3 linked regions of the Macaca mulatta genome follow. The protein of the gene in region 1 interacts with the protein of each later gene in a pairwise test. Links are inferred from orthologs where the notes say so. Each region holds a gene or a part of one and is shown in the gene's direction. Other genes may lie near its edges. The genes, in order: CEBPG, CEBPE and ATF4.

Evidence for each region.
Region 2: the proteins of CEBPG (region 1) and CEBPE interact in a two-hybrid assay, tested with the Homo sapiens proteins (2 studies listed by BioGRID and IntAct, with this or other methods). The link is inferred for Macaca mulatta from reciprocal best matches to the Homo sapiens genes CEBPG and CEBPE.
Region 3: the proteins of CEBPG (region 1) and ATF4 interact in binary tests that used the Homo sapiens proteins (3 or more experiments, as listed by UniProt). The link is inferred for Macaca mulatta from reciprocal best matches to the Homo sapiens genes CEBPG and ATF4.

What each region holds. Positions count from the first base shown.
Region 1 is NC_133424.1:44,671,728-44,678,322, forward strand, and holds the start of CEBPG (CCAAT/enhancer-binding protein gamma), read left to right. Parts: upstream 1-2,184; 5' UTR 2,185-2,350; intron 2,351-2,570; exon of another isoform or gene 2,571-3,068; intron 3,069-4,333; exon of another isoform or gene 4,334-4,459; intron 4,460-6,595. UniProt on the Homo sapiens protein: Transcription factor that binds to the promoter and the enhancer regions of target genes. Binds to the enhancer element PRE-I (positive regulatory element-I) of the IL-4 gene. Binds to the promoter and the enhancer of the immunoglobulin heavy chain.
Region 2 is NC_133412.1:96,210,141-96,216,570, reverse strand, and holds CEBPE (CCAAT/enhancer-binding protein epsilon), read left to right. Parts: upstream 1-2,106; 5' UTR 2,107-2,629; coding exon 2,630-3,139; intron 3,140-3,908; coding exon 3,909-4,244; 3' UTR 4,245-4,428; downstream 4,429-6,430. UniProt on the Homo sapiens protein: Transcriptional activator. C/EBP are DNA-binding proteins that recognize two different motifs: the CCAAT homology common to many promoters and the enhanced core homology common to many enhancers.
Region 3 is NC_133415.1:12,020,099-12,026,198, reverse strand, and holds ATF4 (cyclic AMP-dependent transcription factor ATF-4), read left to right. Parts: upstream 1-2,428; 5' UTR 2,429-3,102; coding exon 3,103-3,328; intron 3,329-3,429; coding exon 3,430-4,259; 3' UTR 4,260-4,342; downstream 4,343-6,100. UniProt on the Homo sapiens protein: Transcription factor that binds the cAMP response element (CRE) (consensus: 5'-GTGACGT[AC][AG]-3') and displays two biological functions, as regulator of metabolic and redox processes under normal cellular conditions, and as master transcription factor during integrated stress response (ISR).

The sequences.
Region 1 (6,595 bases):
TTCTTTTCCTTTTTTTTTTTTTTTTTTTTTTTGAGATGGAGCCTTGCTCTGTCACCCAGGCTGGAGTGCAGTGGCACGATCTCAGCTCACTGCCAACCTCTGCCTCCCAAGTTCAAGCAATTCTTCTGCTTCAGCCTCCCGAGTAGCTGGGATTACAGGCACCCGCCACCACGTCCAGCTAATTTTTGTATTTTTAGTAGAGACAGGGTTTCACCATGTTGTCCAGGGTGGTCTCAAACTCCTGACCTCAGGTGATCCACCCGCCTCGGCCTCCCAAAGTGCTGGCATTACAGGCGTGAGCTACTGCGCCCAGCCCCCTTGTACATTTAAGTGATTAGGAAATATTCAGGGTAAAATTATGATTTTGTGAGCAATAAATCACAATCCTATTTTAATACCACTAAAATCTTGATCAAAGCAAGTTCAGGCAGGACTTGGTTACTCATGCCCATAATCCCAGCAATCTGGGAGGCCGAGACAGAAAGATCACTTGAGCCCAGGAGTTTGAGACCAGAGTGGACAATATGGTGAGACCTCATCTCTACAAAACATTTTTTAAAAATTAGCTGGGTGTGATGGTGCATGCCTATAATCCCATCTACTTGGGAGGCTGAGGTGGGAGCATGGCTTGAGACCAGGAGGTCGAGGCTGCAGTGAGCTGTGATCAAGCTGTGACGGTGCCATTGCACTCTAGCTGGGGCAACATAGCAAGACCCTGTCTCAAAAGAAAAAAAAAAAGAAGTTTCTTTTTCAGCTCAGAATACGAGAGCCAACGTGAAGAAACACACTTGTTTTGACGACGCTTACTCTCCCAAGTGTGGATCTGTGAGCATTATTCCTTGTTTTTTTTTTTGGAGACAGGGTCTCATCCTGTGGCTCAGGCTGGAGTGCAGTGGCTCAGTCTCAGCTCACTGTAACCTCCGCCTCTCAGGCACAAGCCATTCTCCCATCTCAGTCTCCAGAGTAGCTGGGACCACAGGCACAGCGCCACCACACCCGGCTAATCTTTGGTATTTTTGGTAGAGACAGGGTTTTTCCATGTTGCTCAAGCTGGTCTCTAATTCCTGACCTGAAGTGATCCAACTGCTTCCGCCTCTCAAAGTGCTGGGATTACAGGCCTGAGCCACCGCACCTAGCCCATTGTTCACGTTTGTGACCCCTTTTAATTTTTATTTATTGCTTTATCATCTTACTGATTCCTCGAAACAATCTTACGGGGCGAGCCGGTTCCATGGGCGCTGAAGAAACATTTCCTCTTTCAAAGCCTCAATTTTTTGAACGATACGCATTGCTAAAGAGGAAGCAATCAAACCTATCAGGCGAGCTCTGCCCTCCGCCCAGCGAGCTGCTGCTTCCTGGTGTTAAAACGCTTTCGGGTCCTCCTGGCGAGTTTTAAGTCACACTGGATCGCTGCTCATTTTCAGAGAGCACCTCGCACCCATTCACCTGGAAGGCACCCAAGGGGAATCGATTTAGGAAATTCACTTCATGTCACCCTAACAACAAAGCACAGCCTGCAGCTTTCACCCATGTGACATCAATGCTAATCCTATGTGCGAAACATTTGGGTTCATTCGATTTTTTAAAAATTAGTAACAGAGATGGGGTCTCGCCATGTTGTCCAGGCTGGTCTCCACCGCCTGGGCTCAAGCCGTTCTCCCGCCTCGGCCTCCCTCGGCGCTGAGATTACAGGCGGGAGCCACCGCGTCAGCCTCCTCTCGTTTTTCGGCGACAGGGCCAGCCCGCCTGCGGGAAGTTCCGTTCGGAGAAACTCTGTGAGGGACGCCGCGGGGGCTCCCAGGGGACGCGGCGAAATCAAAACAGTCACCGGTGGTTCACAAAACTACCTCAGGAAATGCTTCCAAAGGCAGGTCTGGCCTTCACAAGGCGACGGCTCTTCAGCCTCCGACACGAACCTGAGTAGTCCACAGCACTGGGCCGCAGCCAGCCCGGGCAAGCCGCCGAGCGACCGCGGACGCCGTAGCGAGCAGCCGCCTGCTCCCGCCACACCCGCCGAGCCAGCCGCGCGGAATCCACGCCCCCGCCGTGTGCCCGCCTCCCTCCTCTATCCGGCCCACGATTGGTCGGGTGGGGTGCCCGTCGCGAGAGAAGGCGGTGCCTCCCGCAGGCCGGCGCTCCCATTGGTCAGGATGGCGGCGACGGCGCGCGCGACCCGGCGACGAGGGGAAGCCGGTGGCCGCGGCTGCGGAACGGGCGGAGGCTGCCGGTTTCGTAACCGTCGCTCCTCCTCGCTGACTCGCGGGCTGTGAGGCCTGGGTCGGCTCGGGCCGCACCGCGCGGGGCCGCTCGGAGTGGAGGCCGCCTGGGGGCAGGCGGGCTGGAGGAGCAGGTAAAGAGGCCGCGGCGGGCGCCCTGAGATCGGGGAGGAGGAGGCCGCGGCGGTGCCGGCCGCTCGCCTGGGCGCGGGCCCGGCTCGGGGAAACCCAGCCCCGGCCCCAGAAGGCTGGCTGGCTCGGGAAGGCCCCGCGAGGCTGGAGGCGCGGGCGGCGGCGCCGCGCGGCGTCTGATGCAACCTGCCGGCAACACCCGGCGGCGGGGACGCTGAGCTCATTCCTGGCCGCGGCCCAGCGCCGCGGCGCCGCCCGTCGACCCCCGCGCTGCCCGGGGCGCCCCTCGCGGCTGGCCGAGAGCGCGCGAACGGCCGGGGAATGCCCCCTGCGGAGCCCGGCCCCCTCTCGGTGAGACGGGCGGTGTGACCGGCCAGGCTTGCATTGGCCCCTGGGGATGAAGGGTGTTCCCAGAATAGCAGAAGGTGGACCGAATCGAGCTTTAGAATCCTGCTCTTCTAGAAGGGCTCAGCTTGCGGTGATCGAAAATCTGTTCAGAAGTTCAAAGACTGATCAATAAAATAGGGAAAGCAACTAGTTTTTAAATGCATGACTTCGCAGAGATAATATTTTGCTTTGTGGAGCTGTTTGAATGTCCTGCACTTTACTGTTGAACGTAGTTTAGAAGAACACGCAACACCCACGGGTCAAATAGAGAAGAAATGAAGCACTTCGCGGGCATGGTTGGAGGGAGCGGAGCAGGGCAAACAGCCAGCAGAGGTGTCCAGATGCGGAGGATGGAAATACATGTGTGTGGGGGAGGAGAGTCTGTTTTCCAGGGTAGCTGGTGTGTTGCTTCTCTTCCCTAGGTTTACTGTTTGGTTTTCCCCTTGTTTGAGGTTTATACTGTAATCTGGCATCCTGAAATGTATAAGATTTAGAAAGGTCTCAGTGTTGATGGGTGACACCAAAATTGGTAGTTGTGTCAAAATTGACTGCCTGTATGAATAGGTTGTCACTTAAGGCAGACTTCTCCCATAGATGTGTGACTCGCCGAGAAAATTTTAAAAGAAAATCCTGTAAGGGCTTGCTTTACGAAGACATTCTACATCTAGAAGCTCTTGATGTTTAAGATGTGATCATCTGTTAGCCCTTGAGTAGTATTTGGGATAAGCCGTTCATAAGGTCAGTTCTGCTTCTGGAAAAAGTTGCTGTAAACAAGGCTTAAATAATTACAGGGTACCCAGGAGCTGAAGCATATTTCAGCTTCTTGATTCCTGCTTCTGGTGGGCACACTTGGCTGGTTTAGTTATTTTTAATACCTGCTTTAAAAAAAGTAGGGGGAAACAAAACATTGAGAATATCCTTTAAATTCTCAAGAGCACATCATGTCTGTCCGCAAGGCTGGCTGATCTTGGAGAGATGGTTTCATCTCTGGGAAATTAAACACTATGTGCTGAGCCCCTGGTAAAGACAAATAGGACCTCATGGGGCTGAATTTGGTCTTATAGTCTAAGATTGCCTCACTTGGTCACAGTAATGGTAAGTACAGGTAGCTACGATTCCAGGTGTATTGTGCATTCTTGGGAGGGCTGGTTCCATGGGTGGTTGTATTGATAGGTACACTGGCCTCCTGCGTTTGTGGCTTTCTAGCTCTATCAGTAAAAAAAGAAAAAAATGAGCATGAGCTCCTAATGGTTGTTTATTTACAGTCTATTTGTTTTGTGTGTTGTAAATCACTTCAAAAGGATTGGGTTAGAAAGATGATGTTGATGTTCTTCTCATGCCCCAGTGACCCACTTCTGTACTCCCAGAAAGGGGACGTCCCCTCCCTCATGGACCCTGCAGTAGATGCATGTGAAGATCCGCAGGGAGACACGACGTGGCTGGAGTTGACAGACCTAGGGAACAGATCTTCCCAGATGCCCAAAGAAAAGAGAAAGCACAGACCATTTAGGATACAGATAGTGGTTTAGTACTGTCAAGATGTGGTGTGAGGGAGGAGAGAGGGTCAGGACCTTGGATTTGATCCTGTAGACTGGAGCCAGAGATGAATTTTCAGCAGGAGAGTGACTCACTCAGGTTTGAGTGTTCATTGCTCTGGAGACAGAGGTTGGAGGAAGCAGGCTAGACCAGAGACCAGTGTCCCTGAGAGATGATAGTGACCTGAGGTGAGTTCGATGGGATTGGGATGGAGAGGAAGGGTAGATGGGAAGTTTTTTTGTTTTAGGTGGAATTGTCAAATCCCAAAGACTAAATAGAGTTAGGACCAAGGAGAAACATCTATGACTGTTTTGAAATGTTGACCTTCATTGAGGAAACTGAGTGAAAAATTTATTTTGGTGGGCAAGGGGAGGAATATTGGATTCTAGGTGTGTGGAGAAAAGGGACAAAAGCATTGGGAAAATTCTTAGTAGGTTTATTTCCCCAGGTGAAACTTCAGAAAAATTTGATTTTGTTTTACTCATTCTAACATTGTGTGCGCTTTCAGTGTGACTGACATGAACGAACATTACTTGAATTAAGTTTGAATTGAAACAAAGCCTATTATCCAGTTAGTCCACCATTCTCAGTATTCATTGGGAATCAACAGCAGAGACCCTCAGACTTCAGTGTCATCAAAGTTACTTGGAAGTCTCCTTATGAAAAGATTGCTCAGCCCTGTTCTTAGAACTCCGATTCTAAGTCTGGGGCAGCCTGAGAAGTTACATTTCTAAAGAGTTCCTGGATGATGATGATGCTGGTCCAGGGACCACACTTTGAGAGCCACTGCTCTTCAGCGTTCCTGCTGTTTCCTACTTGAGTGATTCACATGGAAGGAAGCCAGGCGCCACCCTGCTTCCTGTAGGCTGAACTTTGGAATAGTGTTTGTCCACAGAGGAGCCGGACTTGAATTTAGGACTCAATGTCCAGCTTTGAAATAAACACTTTTTGCCTGTTGTAGCTGTTCAGTAAATGTGTGTGGAAGGAACAAAGCATAAATGAGAGTGGCCTTTTCTGTGTAAAACCTCTTAGCTCTTTGATCCCCTTTTACTTGGTTAATTTTCTCTTCACTTTAAGAGCTATTTATATGGTTTAAGAACTTTTTAAACAAAACAGTCTCGGAGTTATTTTGATTATCTCCAAGTTTCTCTTTCTTACATTTTCACCAGCTTGTAGGTTCAGTGAATACTCTTTTCACGCCAAAGGGCTTACCTTTAAAACCTCGCCTACCACACACGTTCAGCCTAGTACCTTGCAAGATGAGTCAGGCAGAGGTGAAAGAGCCCTTCCCTGTTCCTGTATCTTTGGATATGGAAACAGGCATGAACGTCGCTGAACTTGGACCCTGTAGTGAATAAGAGCTGTTAGTGACTGAAGGTCGTGGTGTGTTGTCTGTAGAAAAGTGTCTTACTATTCCACATCCCTCATTTACATATGGGGAATAGACGCCCACGGAAGAAAAGAGATTTACCCATACTAAAATAGGGGGAGCCATAGCCAAGACAAGAACTGGCCTGGTCACCGGTCTCTACCGTTTTGGATCGTTGCTATCTCTGAGCATGGCCACATTGACTGTAGAGAGCTTTAAGGGCTAAAAATATAATTGGTATATAAAAAAGTAGAGAAATAAGGTGAACATGATTATGATTGTTAAGACAGTCTCAGGAGAGGTGTTAACCAAGTTCTTAATAATTGAGTCAAGCACTTCTACTCACTTGACACCAGATAGATAAGCAATAATAATGTTAGGTGGCACTAAGCATGGCTCAGATTAATACTGAACAGCCACTTTGCTACTGAAAGGAAAATGAGGCAACCTAATAAGGATCAAAGGAAACTGTGAACTGTCTGTTACTGAAGATAGGCTTGGAGTGGATAGCCTTCATCATTTGGAGGGACGCTTTCTGTCTTGCCTTAGTGCTGGAGTGAGAACAGATGACCTACTAGCTCAGGGCCGGCTGTGTGGCTTTGAAAACAATGGAAAGTAATGACACATGGACTTTTTAAAGCAAAGATGTTTTTTAAAAAGAGACCAATAAACTGTGTACAGAATTGCCTGGCTAAAGGTTTGGATGTAGCTACTGGTGTTGGCTAACTGAGCTTTCCCTCATTGTGGGATCACTGTATAAATCTGACTCCAGATTTTTTCCACTGATGTAATTTTAGCAGTTTTGTGAAAAGAGAACAGGATAGGTTTATGTTCCTAACACTGCTTTCTAAATGTCTAAGAGTGCCTTGACACCTTGGTGGACACCGTTCACTGAACTGAGTCAGTTGATGTTGAAGCGGCCTCCTGATGATAGGATAGTCACGCTTTTACACTT
Region 2 (6,430 bases), on another chromosome or scaffold:
CCTTCCTGTCCAGAGCTCCCCCTACCCTACCCTGACATCCAGAGCCCTGCCTGCCCCAGCCAAACCCCTGTTACTGGGAAACACTGAGGTCAGCGTACCAGCAACGTCAGCACTAGCCGGGGAGGCCGGGGCAGAGATTTATCTCACCATGGCTAAAGCTGCTGACTTTCTCATTTCCTGCGGCTCTATTTACATACCTCCCACTTCCTCCTGCGCAGCTACTGATGCAGACTTCCCCCTCCCCATGGTGGCCAAATGAGTGCCAGGAAGGTTCTCCAAGTCACATAGCAGCCCCTTCCCATCCCTTCAGCCAGAGATGAACCAGGCATCCTCCTTGGATGACCTTGGGCAGCTCAGCCTCTCAGCCTTGTTATCCTTGTTTATAAAGTAGGAATAAAAATACTGTCTGCCTTGCCTACCTTCCTGCATAACCCATAGGCAAAGAGCATGAAAAAGTGTATGTTTCAAGGATTGAAAAAGCATTAATTTATCAGAAAGCACAAGGCCTATTCATTATCATTATTTCAAAGTAGCGGAGGGGACAGAATTTCTCCTCATGGAGACAAGGCCCTGGACGCAGGACTTGCAAGCTGCTTATTCTCCCTAGAACTGCACTGCAAGACCCCATCCCAGCCAGGTCTCCTCTTCCTCCTTCCAGACCCCCCGCAGGAGCTTGCTGAGAGCCAGAGCTGTGAGAGGCTGCCCTCTGCTGTCCACCTGAGTCCGGACCACAGCAGCCCTCCAAGTCCGAAATATTGGGGCCAATATTGCCACCTGGTGGTCAACAGAAGCACTGCCACCAAACTGAGAGCTCAGCTTTGAAATGGAGAAATCTCCCTAATTCCTGACATCTGTCTCTGGGATGCACACAGATCTCCTCATACCAGGTCACTGTGCTTTCAGAGAAAGCATATCTGGCTGTGTCTCAAGTCATGCACAGACAGCATCTAGGGTAGGTGTTGGGGTAGGGAGGATGGAAGGAATATGCTAACCAGAATACACATTTTTAAAATTTTAATGTTCAATGCCACACACATCCTCTCTGCACTTGTCCCACTGGGGCCCACTCACAGTGACCCAGCCCTTGTTTGGCCCAACTTACAAAAACTTCTGGCCCCCCTGGGGCACCCAGAGTACTTGCTGGTCATAAAAGAGACAGTAACATTTCTATGTGCCCTTTCCTCCCCCCCACCCCCACCCCCCCCTCCGCTGGACCTTTTGGAGATGAAATTCAACAGGTAAAAGCAGGACCTGAGCAGGTGTCTCTGAAAGGAGGCAGTTGGGAGTTCCCAAAGGAAAGAGAAAAGGGAAGAGGAGAGCCAGCACAGAACCAAGAATTGCAGATAGAGAGCCATGGGCTTCTCCTGGAGACCCTAAAACAGAGCCCCAGGAAGAGGTGATGACATAAGAGGCTTCTCAAACCTCACAAGAGGAAGTAGACCCAAGAGACACGCATTGGAGATCAGAGAGCAGCCATGCAAAAGGAAAGACAGCAAACGAGCTGCAGCAAGCTCCTGAGCCCTGCAGCCCAGGGCACAGGAAACCAGAGGCAGAGCCTCAGGCCCAGGGTGAGGGGCAAAGCGCCAGCCTGAGCCTCTTGCAGCAGAGAACAGCTGGAAGAGAGAAGTGCTGGAGCCACCGGAGGATTATGGCTGTCTATTCCAAGGGCAGCAGCCTGCCTGGGCCTGCAGTGCAAGGCCCAAGTCCTGACCAGGTGCTTCAACCAAGCCCAGGGAGTTAGGAACTGTGCCAGGCTGCTACAGGTAGCTGGGGCTGGAAACATACTCATATTTGGGCTATTGCACAGCCCCTGTGCAAAAACCTAGCAAATGAGCGTACTCTCTCCAGCACCATGCAGGCTCCCATGTATAGCTTGTTCCTAGGACCTATCACTACTCCCCAGACCCCTCAAAAACAAACCAAAACAAAACAAAACCCTGGCCTACACTCAGAGAATGCTCTGGGAGGTGAGGCCACAAAAGAAACTGTCTCCTGGGAGTAGGTGGAGCCCAGCATCAGGGGAGAGCCAGAGGAAGGCATGTCAAGGGAGGAGCTGAGACCCAACTGAGGGTCGGCACTGGAAGAGGGCTTTCTTCACTCTAACCTGGAACCTCATTCTGCGTAGAACTTTTTCACAGTTGGAGGGAGGAGGACGCTCAGAGTAGGGTGTTGCCCTTGGTGAGGATTTGGAGTCCCCTGGGCTCAGGAGGGAGTGGACAGGCATTCCCAGAAGCATCAGCTTCTGGCATCTCCAGAACCCTGGCTTGGACCCTGACCGAGGAGTGTCCCCAACTGCTGAATAGGCCAGGAGTCGCCTTTCTCTAAGGCTTACATCTCTCCCTCTGGGGTGTGTCCTGCCCCTCCCTGAGTCACCCCAAGGGGAGAGAGGGGAAAAAAGGGAAGAGAAGAGAGGCATTGACTACAGAGGAAGGAAAAGGAAGCAGAGCAGAGGGGGGAGAGAGGCCACACAGGAGTGGGTGACAGAGGAGACTGCAGAGGGCAGGTCTAGGGCAGGAGATCGAGAGAGGGCAGGCCCAGGTCAGGAGGAGGTAGAGAGAGGGCAACCCGAGCACCCCAAGGGGTGCCTCAAGAGCAGGTGGGGGCGGGGAGCCGAGGGGGCGGGCCGGCCATGTCCCACGGGACCTACTACGAGTGTGAGCCCCGGGGCGGCCAGCAGCCACTTGAGTTCTCAGGGGGCCGAGCTGGGCCCGGGGATCTGGGGGACATGTGTGAGCATGAGGCCTCCATTGACCTCTCTGCCTACATCGAGTCTGGGGAAGAGCAGCTTCTCTCCGATCTCTTTGCGGTGAAGCCAGCGCCTGAGGCCAGAGGCCTCAAGGGCCCCGGAACCCCTGCCTTCCCCCACTACTTGCCGCCTGACCCTCGGCCCTTTGCCTACCCTCCACATACCTTCGGCCCAGACAGGAAGGCGCTGGGGCCTGGCATCTACAGCAACCCAGGGAGCTACGACCCCAGGGCTGTGGCGGTGAAGGAGGAGCCCCGGGGGCCAGAGGGCAGCCGAGCTGCCAGCCGAGGCGGCTACAATCCCCTGCAGTACCAAGTGGCACACTGTGGGCAGACAGCCATGCACCTGCCCCCAACCCTGGCAGCACCCGGCCAGCCTCTGCGCGTTCTCAAGGTAAGAGCAGGTCAGCCCTCCTCCCTCCTGCCCCGGGCTGGAGAGGCTGGTGTGGACAGGACCCTGTGCCCCTGCTCACGCTGCTGAGTCTGTGCTTGGTGTTGCTCTGTGAAATGGACCCAACCCACAGTCCTCTGTGCTCACACCGCACCATGACCTCCCTTTCCTTCTCTGTGAATTCATTCCCACCCTGAATCCCCACCATGTCCCAAAGACCCTGCGGCAAGCTGGCCTACCTTGATCTCAGGCCCCCCACCACCAGCCTCTCTGCTGCTCACCATGCCCCCTCCTCTTGTTTCTCTGCCGCCTGCTTCTGTAAGAAATGTCTGCTGGTCATAGAACAGGAGACTCAAGACAGATTGAGGGAAAGTGTACTCAGAAAGTGTGAGAACATTGGCTGGGTGCAGCGGCTCATGCCTGTAATCCCAGCGCTTTGCGAGGCCAAAGCAGGACGGTCGCTTAAGGCCAGGAGTTGGAGACCAGCCTGGGCAACATAGCAAGGCTCCATCTTTACAAAAAAGAAGAAAGAAAGAAAGTGTGAGGACGTGAAAGGGAGTTTTGGTCTCAAGCAGAGAACCCTGTGCATCTGGGTCACCATCTCCCAGAAGCAGGGTGATGATAGTTTTGACCTGAGAGACAGGAGCTGGCTCTGAGTCCTGTATTCCTTCGATGCAGCAAGTGTGCCCTGGCTGCAGAGATTCTCGTCCCGCCTTCGCTCTGCCTCCTGGCCAGCCCTCACCTCTCCGTCTCTCCGTGCCTTCCCCTCCAGGCCCCTTTGGCCACTGCCGCACCGCCCTGCAGTCCCCTCCTGAAGGCGCCCTCCCCCGCTGGCCCCTTACACAAGGGCAAGAAGGCAGTGAACAAAGATAGCCTTGAGTACCGGCTGAGGCGGGAGCGCAACAACATCGCAGTGCGCAAGAGCCGGGACAAGGCCAAGAGGCGCATTTTGGAGACGCAGCAGAAGGTGCTGGAGTACATGGCAGAGAACGAGCGCCTCCGCAGCCGCGTGGAGCAGCTCACCCAGGAGCTAGACACCCTCCGCAACCTCTTCCGCCAGATCCCTGAGGCGGCCAACCTCATCAAGGGCGTGGGGGGCTGCAGCTGAGTCTGGCTGGTGGACTTTGGGCACCAGGCTCCGTGGCACGGCCTGACTCTGCGAACCCCCATCCTGCTGGGGGCCTAGAACCCTGAGACATAGACCATGGATAAATGGCAACCGGGGTGGCAAGGAAGGGCAGGACCCAGCATAATGATTATGTGGCTGAATAAAGTTGCACTGTGACTGGGTGTTGGGACTGTTGGCTCTGTGTGTGTGTGTGTGTGTGTGTATGTGTGTGTGTGTGTGTGTGTGTGATGGAGGACCCTGGGGACAGAGGATGCATGTGGCTAGGTCTGCACCTCTTGTTTCCATATCCAAATGGACATGTGGAAACACAGACATGCTGTCCACAGCCAGCCCCCTACATGCTACACAACCAGACCATGTATCTGCCACTCTGCTTTTCTCTCCCTGACATCCCCATCACCCGCTTCTGTGATCTGAAGGCACATCCCCGCCCCCCGCAGGACCTGGAGCAACCTTTGTATGCTCTGCTAACAAAGATCTGTAGCTTGTAGGGAGATCCTGGCACCACACAGTCCTTCATGCCCAGGCCTGCGGCTCCCAGGTCCACCCTCTCTCACCTCGAAGTATAGGTCTGGGAGCTCCTGCCCCAGGTGACCACGGGAAAATTCCTGATGGCTCTGCCATATTTATGGTCCCTTGATCCAGCCTGCCATCTCTTCTCTCCAGTTCCGATGCCTCAGTCTACCAGATGGACACCCTCCCAATGCTGCTCCCACCTACTCATTTCCATCCTTTGTCCCTCATCCCTGGGGCTCCAGTTCCGTAAAGCTTGAGAATTGAGTGCATGGGACAGGAATCAGTTGGGAGAGACCTGGAAAGCGGATTTGTGTATGAGAACACTGGTAATGAGAAGGAGGATGACAATCTGCCTGTGCCAGGGACACCCCTCACTCAAAGCAGCATTTTCTTTGGCATTGGACTCCAGCCTAAGAGACAGATGGTACAGTAATTAAGAGCCTCAGTTTGAATCATACTCTGCTACTTACTAGCTGTGAGCCTTCAGCCATTACTTCTCTCTGTGCCTCGGTTTCCTCATCTGCAAAATGGTAGCAATATTCGTACCCACTCTGTAGTGTTATATTCATAGAAAAAGAAAACTTTGGCCGGGCGCGGTGGCTCAAGCCTGTAATCCCAGCACTTTGGGAGGCCGAGGCAGGCGGATCACAAGGTCAGGAGATCGAGACCACAGTGAAACCCCGTCTCTACTAAAAATACAAAAAAAAAAATTAGCCGGGCGCGGTGGCGGGCGCCTGTAGTCCCAGCTACTCAGGAGGCTGAGGCAGGAGAATGGCGGGAACCCGGGAGGCGGAGCTTGCAGTGAGCCGAGATCGCGCCACTGCACTCCAGCCTGGGCAACAGCGTGAGACTCCGTCTCAAAAAAAAAAAAAAAAAAAGAAAAAAGAAAAAGAAAACTTTGCATGTAATAAGCATATTTATGACGATTCCTCCATTTTGCTGGAACTGAAAGGACCTCGGAGATCTCATCTAAACTGATTTTGTAGGTAAGAAAACAGGCCGCAAAGAGGGGAAGGGACTTACCTGGAGTCACACAATTGTTTAGAGGCAGAACCAAAATTAGCTCCATAAAATCACAGATCTCAAGATGTGCTGGAAGAGACCTCAAGAGATCATCGGCTCTGCCCTCAGACCAGCAAGATAGGGTGAGCCACATTTTATAGATAAAGCAGTTGAGGGCCAGAGGGGGTAAGAGGCTTCTCCTGACACTCACTGAGTCCCTTTGCTGCCTCGGTACATGGTACCTCTCTCTCTACTCCGTGCGACGCTCTCCTCACAGATACTCAGTTTGAGTGTCACATGAATCACATTCAGTAAAGAACAGTGCTCAACAGTATCAGGGAGCCAGGGACAGATTAAGGACTTGTTAAAGTCTCTCCTAGGCCAGTGCTGGGAAAGCCTGAGTCAGACATCAAGGAATAATTTTCTGAGAGGGCAAGATCCTGGTGTCTGGATCATCCCAGATCTCTCTCCCTTCTTCAAATCTCCAGCAGTAGAGCCCTCCCACACCTCGGGCATCTGTGTGTGACATGTCTATCTTGCCCAGGACTCAGTCCTTTTCCTGCTTTTGCCCCTGTGTCTCTCGGGCACCATCTCTCCTACCTCTGTGTCCTGGAGGCCCGTGCCCCAGGTCTGGTTTGGAGGGACAG
Region 3 (6,100 bases), on another chromosome or scaffold:
CTGTCAGGAGGTACTGTCTATAGCAAAAGGAGAACATGTCCTGTGGGTCCCTAGTTCGGCCTTTGGAAGACATGGCTAATGGCTCAGGGATTCTTACTGCCTCTGCATGGAAAGGCTAGACAACTCCTGTATTTATTATTATTAAGACAGGGTCTTGCCCTGTTGCCCAGGCTGAGTTGCAGTGTTGTGATTACAGCTCACTGCAGCTTGGAATTCCTGGGCTCAAGCAATCCTCCCACCTCTGCCTGAGTAGGTGGGACTACAGGCTGGAGCCACTGCTCCTGGCACCAATTCTGTATATCTCAACTCTCATGATTCCCCAAAGAGAAAGAAAAACCATACTTTTATTCCAGCATCCGGTATGCCTTGTGTATACCTGTATACAAGTTTTAAAGTTGTTGGTTTCATCTCATTAAATAATAGTTAAGAGTCCTCTGAGGCAGCAGGAGGATGTGGAGAGTAGCACAGGTCAGGGTCAGGTGACCTGAGTTCTATGAAGGGTAGCAGCAATAGCAACTATTATTGGGTGCTTACATGTACCAGGCGCTATGCTAAGTGCTTTACATGTATGACTTCACTTCATGGGGCAAGGATACTCATCAGTAGTCTCATTTTACAAATGAGGAAACCGAGGCTCAAAGAGGATAAGTCACTTAGCCAAAATGTCCCAGCCAGGATTCTTTTGGGTGAGCTCCCCAAAATTTGTCTTCTAACTCCTACCCTATACTCCCTCCACTGGGAGCTGTGCGACTTTGAGCAAGAAGCTTCATCCCATTGGGCCTCGGTTTACCATTGGAAAGGACTTGTGAGCGAGGTTGAATGAGCGCAGCAGATGGCCTGTGGTTATTTAGAGCAGTGCTTCCCTGGTTGTTTGGTATCACAGCGATCATAGAAATACTTGTGTGGCCCGGTGAAATGGAGGCGGAAACTCAGTTTCTACCTTCACAGGGCCTGACTGGAGGGGGCTGAGGACGATGCGGAGGTTTCCTGTATTAAAACAGACTACCCCCCCTTCCCAACGCACAACCCCGAGCACGTGGCCGTGGGTTCCCAAGCGCCTCTCCTCCCAGGGCCATGGGCATGACCACCGAAAAGCGGGTTAGGCCGGGGAGTTCAGAACCCGGAGTGAATCGAAACTACCCCAGGTAGATGGCAGCGAAGAAAATTCTGTTCTTAGGGGAACGCAATCTTCGGACACCAGAAGTTCCCCTATGATGCTATTCTGTGGCAGCCTCGCACTTGAGCCGGATGAGAATTGTAAAAACCCAGGTTGGGAGACAGGACGGCGCGTCTTCCCGGCTCCTTTCCAGAGTTTAGACGGAGCCATGCAGACTCAGCTGGCCTTTGGGTGTAGGTGGGCAGGCCCGAGGCGCCCTCTCGAGACCCCTTCAACCTCCCGGGGGCAGCAACACCGTATCGGCTATGAATGGCGTCTCTGGAAAACTCAGGCTTGGAACAGGTAACCCCCCGGTTTCCGCAGGCCAGAAATCAGCCCCCGCAACCGAAGGACGCGCAGGCTGGGAGTGGCGGCGGGGCCGCCAGTGGCGGACCTCCACTGAGGGCGGCGGGACCCGACCGCAGGGGCTGGGCCCTGAGGCCACTATGGGGTGCGCTAGGCTAAGGTCTCCTGGGGGCAGGAGCCAGTGCGATTGTAGCTGGCCAGCAGGCTGGCCGGCCTGAGGCCTGGCAGAGACCCGAGACCCCGACCCTTACCACGCGGACTCCGTGATCCCTCTCCCAGCAGCCGCCCACCTGGGGCCCTGAGCCAATAAGAGCTCGAGGTATATATGACTCACCGTGCCTGGGCCAATCAACTTGACGCGCGCTCTTCGCCAGCACCTCGCGCGATAACCTGGCTTCCTCGGCCTTCACAATAAAAACTCTCCGCCGGAAAACGACCTCTCCCCGCCCACCGCGCCGACACCGGAAGCGAGGCGTGTCTGCGAGATCACTCCGCGCTCCGGCGGCGAAGGAAAGAACGGACTCTGATCATAGAAGTCTAGTAAAGTAGTGCACCTCTCTCGTTTCGTGAGGTCATAAGAACAAACACCTTTTCTCGTCACAGCTACGCGCTGGGCATAAACGGTTGGGGCGTCAAAGGGAGGGAAACGAGCGGGCGGGAGGAGATGGTCACGTGGCCGTGGCGGAAGGATGCGTCGGTGCTGCGTCCCCTTAGAGACGAAGTCTATAAAGGGCCGGCGGGCGGCTGCTGCGGCCATTTCTACTTCGTCCGCCCACAAATGTAGTTTGGTTTGCACGTGTGCGCCTTCCCTCCTCCCCGCCCGCAGGGTCCACGGCCACCATGGCGTATTAGGGGCAGCAGTGCCTGCGGCAGCATTGGCCTTTGCAGCGGCGGCAGCAGCACCAGGCTCTGCAGCGGCACCCCCCCCAGCGGCTTAAGCCATGGCGTGAGTACCAGGGCGGGTCGTCCAGCTGTGCTCCCTGGGCCGGCGCAGGATTTGGGTTGGTGGGGTGCGGCCTGGGGCCGGGGCGGTGCCGCCAAGGAGGAAGCGATTTTACGAGCGCCCGGGACGCGTGGTCTTTGCTTGGGTGTCCCCGAGACGCTCGCGTGCCCGGGATCGGGAAGGCGCATTCTGGTGCCAGGACTGCTTCCACAGGGGCCCTGCCGCCCTCGGACCCCGAGTCCCCCAAGGGTCCCAGGGGTCTCGGCTTTCCCCCCCGCGAAACGTGGCAAGAACCAAGATGGCGGCGGCAGGGCGGCGCCGCGGGCGTGAGTCAAGGGCGGGCGGTGGGCGGGGCGCGGCCGCCCTGGCCTTATTTGGACGCGGGGACGGAGCGCCTTCCTCTTGGTGGCCGGTGGAAGAATCGCCTGGTCTCCGTGAGCGTCCATTTTGTGGAACCTGAGCCGCAGCAGGGAGGGGCGGATGCAACTGCCCCGTTGCCGACTCTATAGATGGCTGGACTAGAGAAGTCCCGCCTCGTAAGTGGAAAGATGAAATTCTCAGACCAGCTAACCTCTAATGGGAGTTGGCTTCTGATTCCCATTCAGGCTTCTCACGGCATTCAGCAGCAGCGTTGCTGTAACCGACAAAGACATCTTCGAATTAAGCACATTCCTCGATTCCAGCAAAGCACCGCAACATGACCGAAATGAGCTTCCTGAGCAGCGAGGTGTTGGTGGGGGACTTGATGTCCCCCTTCGACCAGTCGGGTTTGGGGGCTGAAGAAAGCCTAGGTCTCTTAGATGACTACCTGGAGGTGGCCAAGCACTTCAAACCTCATGGGTTCTCCAGCGACAAGGCTAAGGCGGGCTCCTCCGAATGGCTGGCTGTGGATGGGTTGGTCAGTCCCTCCAACAACGGCAAGGGTGAGTGGGCCACCACCACATCGTCTGGGTGGGATCTAGGGTTAGGGGCCTGTTATCTTTGTATCTGACTCACTTGGCCCTGTCATTCAAATCTTTTGCAGAGGATGCCTTCTCCGGGACAGATTGGATGTTGGAGAAAATGGATTTGAAGGAGTTCGACTTTGATGCCCTGTTGGGTATAGATGACCTGGAAACCATGCCAGATGACCTTTTGACCACGTTGGATGACACGTGTGATCTCTTTGCCCCCCTAGTCCAGGAGACTAACAAGGAGCCCCCACAGACGGTGAACCCAATTGGCCATCTCCCAGAAAGTTTAACAAAACCCGACCAGGTTGCCCCCTTCACCTTCTTGCAACCTCTTCCCCTTTCCCCAGGGGTCCTGTCCTCCACTCCAGATCATTCCTTTAGTTTAGAGCTGGGCAGTGAAGTGGATATCACTGAAGGAGATAGGAAGCCAGATGCCACTGCTTATGTTGCCATGATCCCTCCGTGCATAAAGGAGGAAGACACCCCCTCAGATAATGATAGTGGCATCTGTATGAGCCCGGAGTCCTATCTGGGCTCTCCTCAGCATAGCCCGTCTACCAGGGGCTCTCCAAATAGGAGCCTCCCATCTCCAGGTGTTCTCTGTGGCTCTGCCCGCCCCAAACCTTACGACCCTCCTGGAGAGAAGATGGTAGAAGCAAAAGTAAAGGGTGAGAAACTGGATAAGAAGCTGAAAAAAATGGAGCAAAACAAGACAGCAGCCACTAGGTACCGCCAGAAGAAGAGGGCGGAGCAGGAGGCCCTCACTGGCGAGTGCAAAGAGCTGGAAAAGAAGAATGAGGCTTTAAAAGAGAGGGCGGATTCCCTGGCCAAGGAGATCCAGTACCTGAAAGATTTGATAGAAGAGGTCCGCAAGGCAAGGGGGAAGAAAAGGGTCCCCTAGTTGAGGGTAGTCAGGAGCGTCAGTGTGCTTGTACATAGAGTCTCTGCTGTTGCTGTGTGTTGGAATAAATTATTTTGTAGGGAAAGTACTTGTGTGAATTCCTTTTCTGGCAAATTAGCCGAGTGAGGCGCCAACCACGCATCCCAAACTGGTTATAACATTCCTTGTGAGATCTGGGGAGGAGGGCAGTCCAGGACTGAAGATGGGTACCCAGAGTGGGAACTGCTCGCCCTGCTAGGTGTAAGCCACGATGTCTGATGACTCATGGGGCCATACAGCCGGATAGTTGGCCAACTGTAGCAAGTTGGGTCCTTTACCCAGAGGTGAGTTCGCTGGTTGTGTAGGGAGGAGGCTGGAGCTCTCTGAGAGGTTGGGAGGGAGGGACAGCCTGGGCCTCTTACCTATTTATTCAAGAGGGCTTCATGCCAACAGCTGTCGCCTGAAACCCTGGATAAGCTTGCACAGTCCTTGAGATAAGCACACAAGATTAGTTTTCACTTGTTACCCTGAGTTCTGTAGAAACGTGTTCCTGAAGAAAGAAATGGCTCCTTTTCGGAATTGATGCTGAAGCAGGACAGGAGCTGAGGGTTGGCCTCCGTTTCTCCTTATGGGGTGGAAGGATGACATCCTGCACAGGTTCTGGCTAGAGCTGGGCACAAAGGCTACAGTTCCTGTGAAGGCTGTTGTGCCTGTTGCTACCTAAATAGAAGGCCTGGCATCATGCTAGGATGGATCAGCGCCTAGAAACCACGCCTCCTCACCGCAGCTTCTTCCTGGCAAGCTGGCGGGGAGACCTCGCCTTTCCAGGCAGGCGATGTCTTTTGTGTTGCGGATGAGTGCTTGATTTTGTGTTGCGGATGAGTGCTTGAATGCAAGGATCAGCGTATCCTGGGTAGGTCTGTCTTTCCTCTTGTGTCCTTCAGGATCACAGTTTTCCTTCTGTGGAAGGTGGTGTAGACTGGGTGTGCCCGGGGAATGGCTGGGAGGACAGTGAGGGTGAGTGCGCCCAGGCACTGCTGTAACTGAGCACAGTACGTGTGTTCACCCCGTCCCCGAAGCACACCCAGGAGGCAGACGCCACACTCAGGAGGATTTTTTTTTTTTTTTTTTTTTTTTTTTTTTTTGAGACAGGGTCTCTCCCTGTTGACCAGGCTGGAATGCAATGGTGCAATCTCGGCTCACCACAACCTCCACCTCCTGGATTCAAACGATTCTCATGCCTCAGCCTCCCGAGTAGCTGGGATTACAGGTGCTCGCCACCATGCCCAGCTAATTTTTGTATTTTTAGTAGAGACGGGGTTTCACCATGTTGGCCAGGCTAGTCTCGAACTCCTGACTTCCTGATCCACCCACCTTGGCCTCCCCAAAGTGCTAGGATTACAAGCATGAGCCACCGCGCCTGGCCTTTTTTTTTTTTTTTTTTTTTTTTTTCTTTTTAGAGATTGAGCCTATTCCCCAGGCTGGAGTGCAGTGGTGCAATCTTGGCTCACTGCAACCCCTGCCTCCCAGTTTCAAGCGATTCTCCTGCCTCAGCCTCCCGAGTAGCTGGCATTACAGACGACTGCCACCATGCCCAGCTAATTTTTGTATTTTTAGTGGGGATGGGGTTTGTCATGTTGGCCAGGCTGGTCTCGAACTCCTGACCTCAGGTGATCCGCCCGTCTCGGCCTCTTAAAGTGCTGGGATTACAGGTGTGAGCCACCACGCCCAGCTCACCCAGGAGGATTTTGAGCAAAGAGGTAGAGCTGGAATTTGAAGCCAGGACTCGGGCTCCAGTCTGGGCTCTTCATTTTGCCTCTTGAGCTGGAAACAAATGGCCCGTCATGACCTTTCCGGTGCCC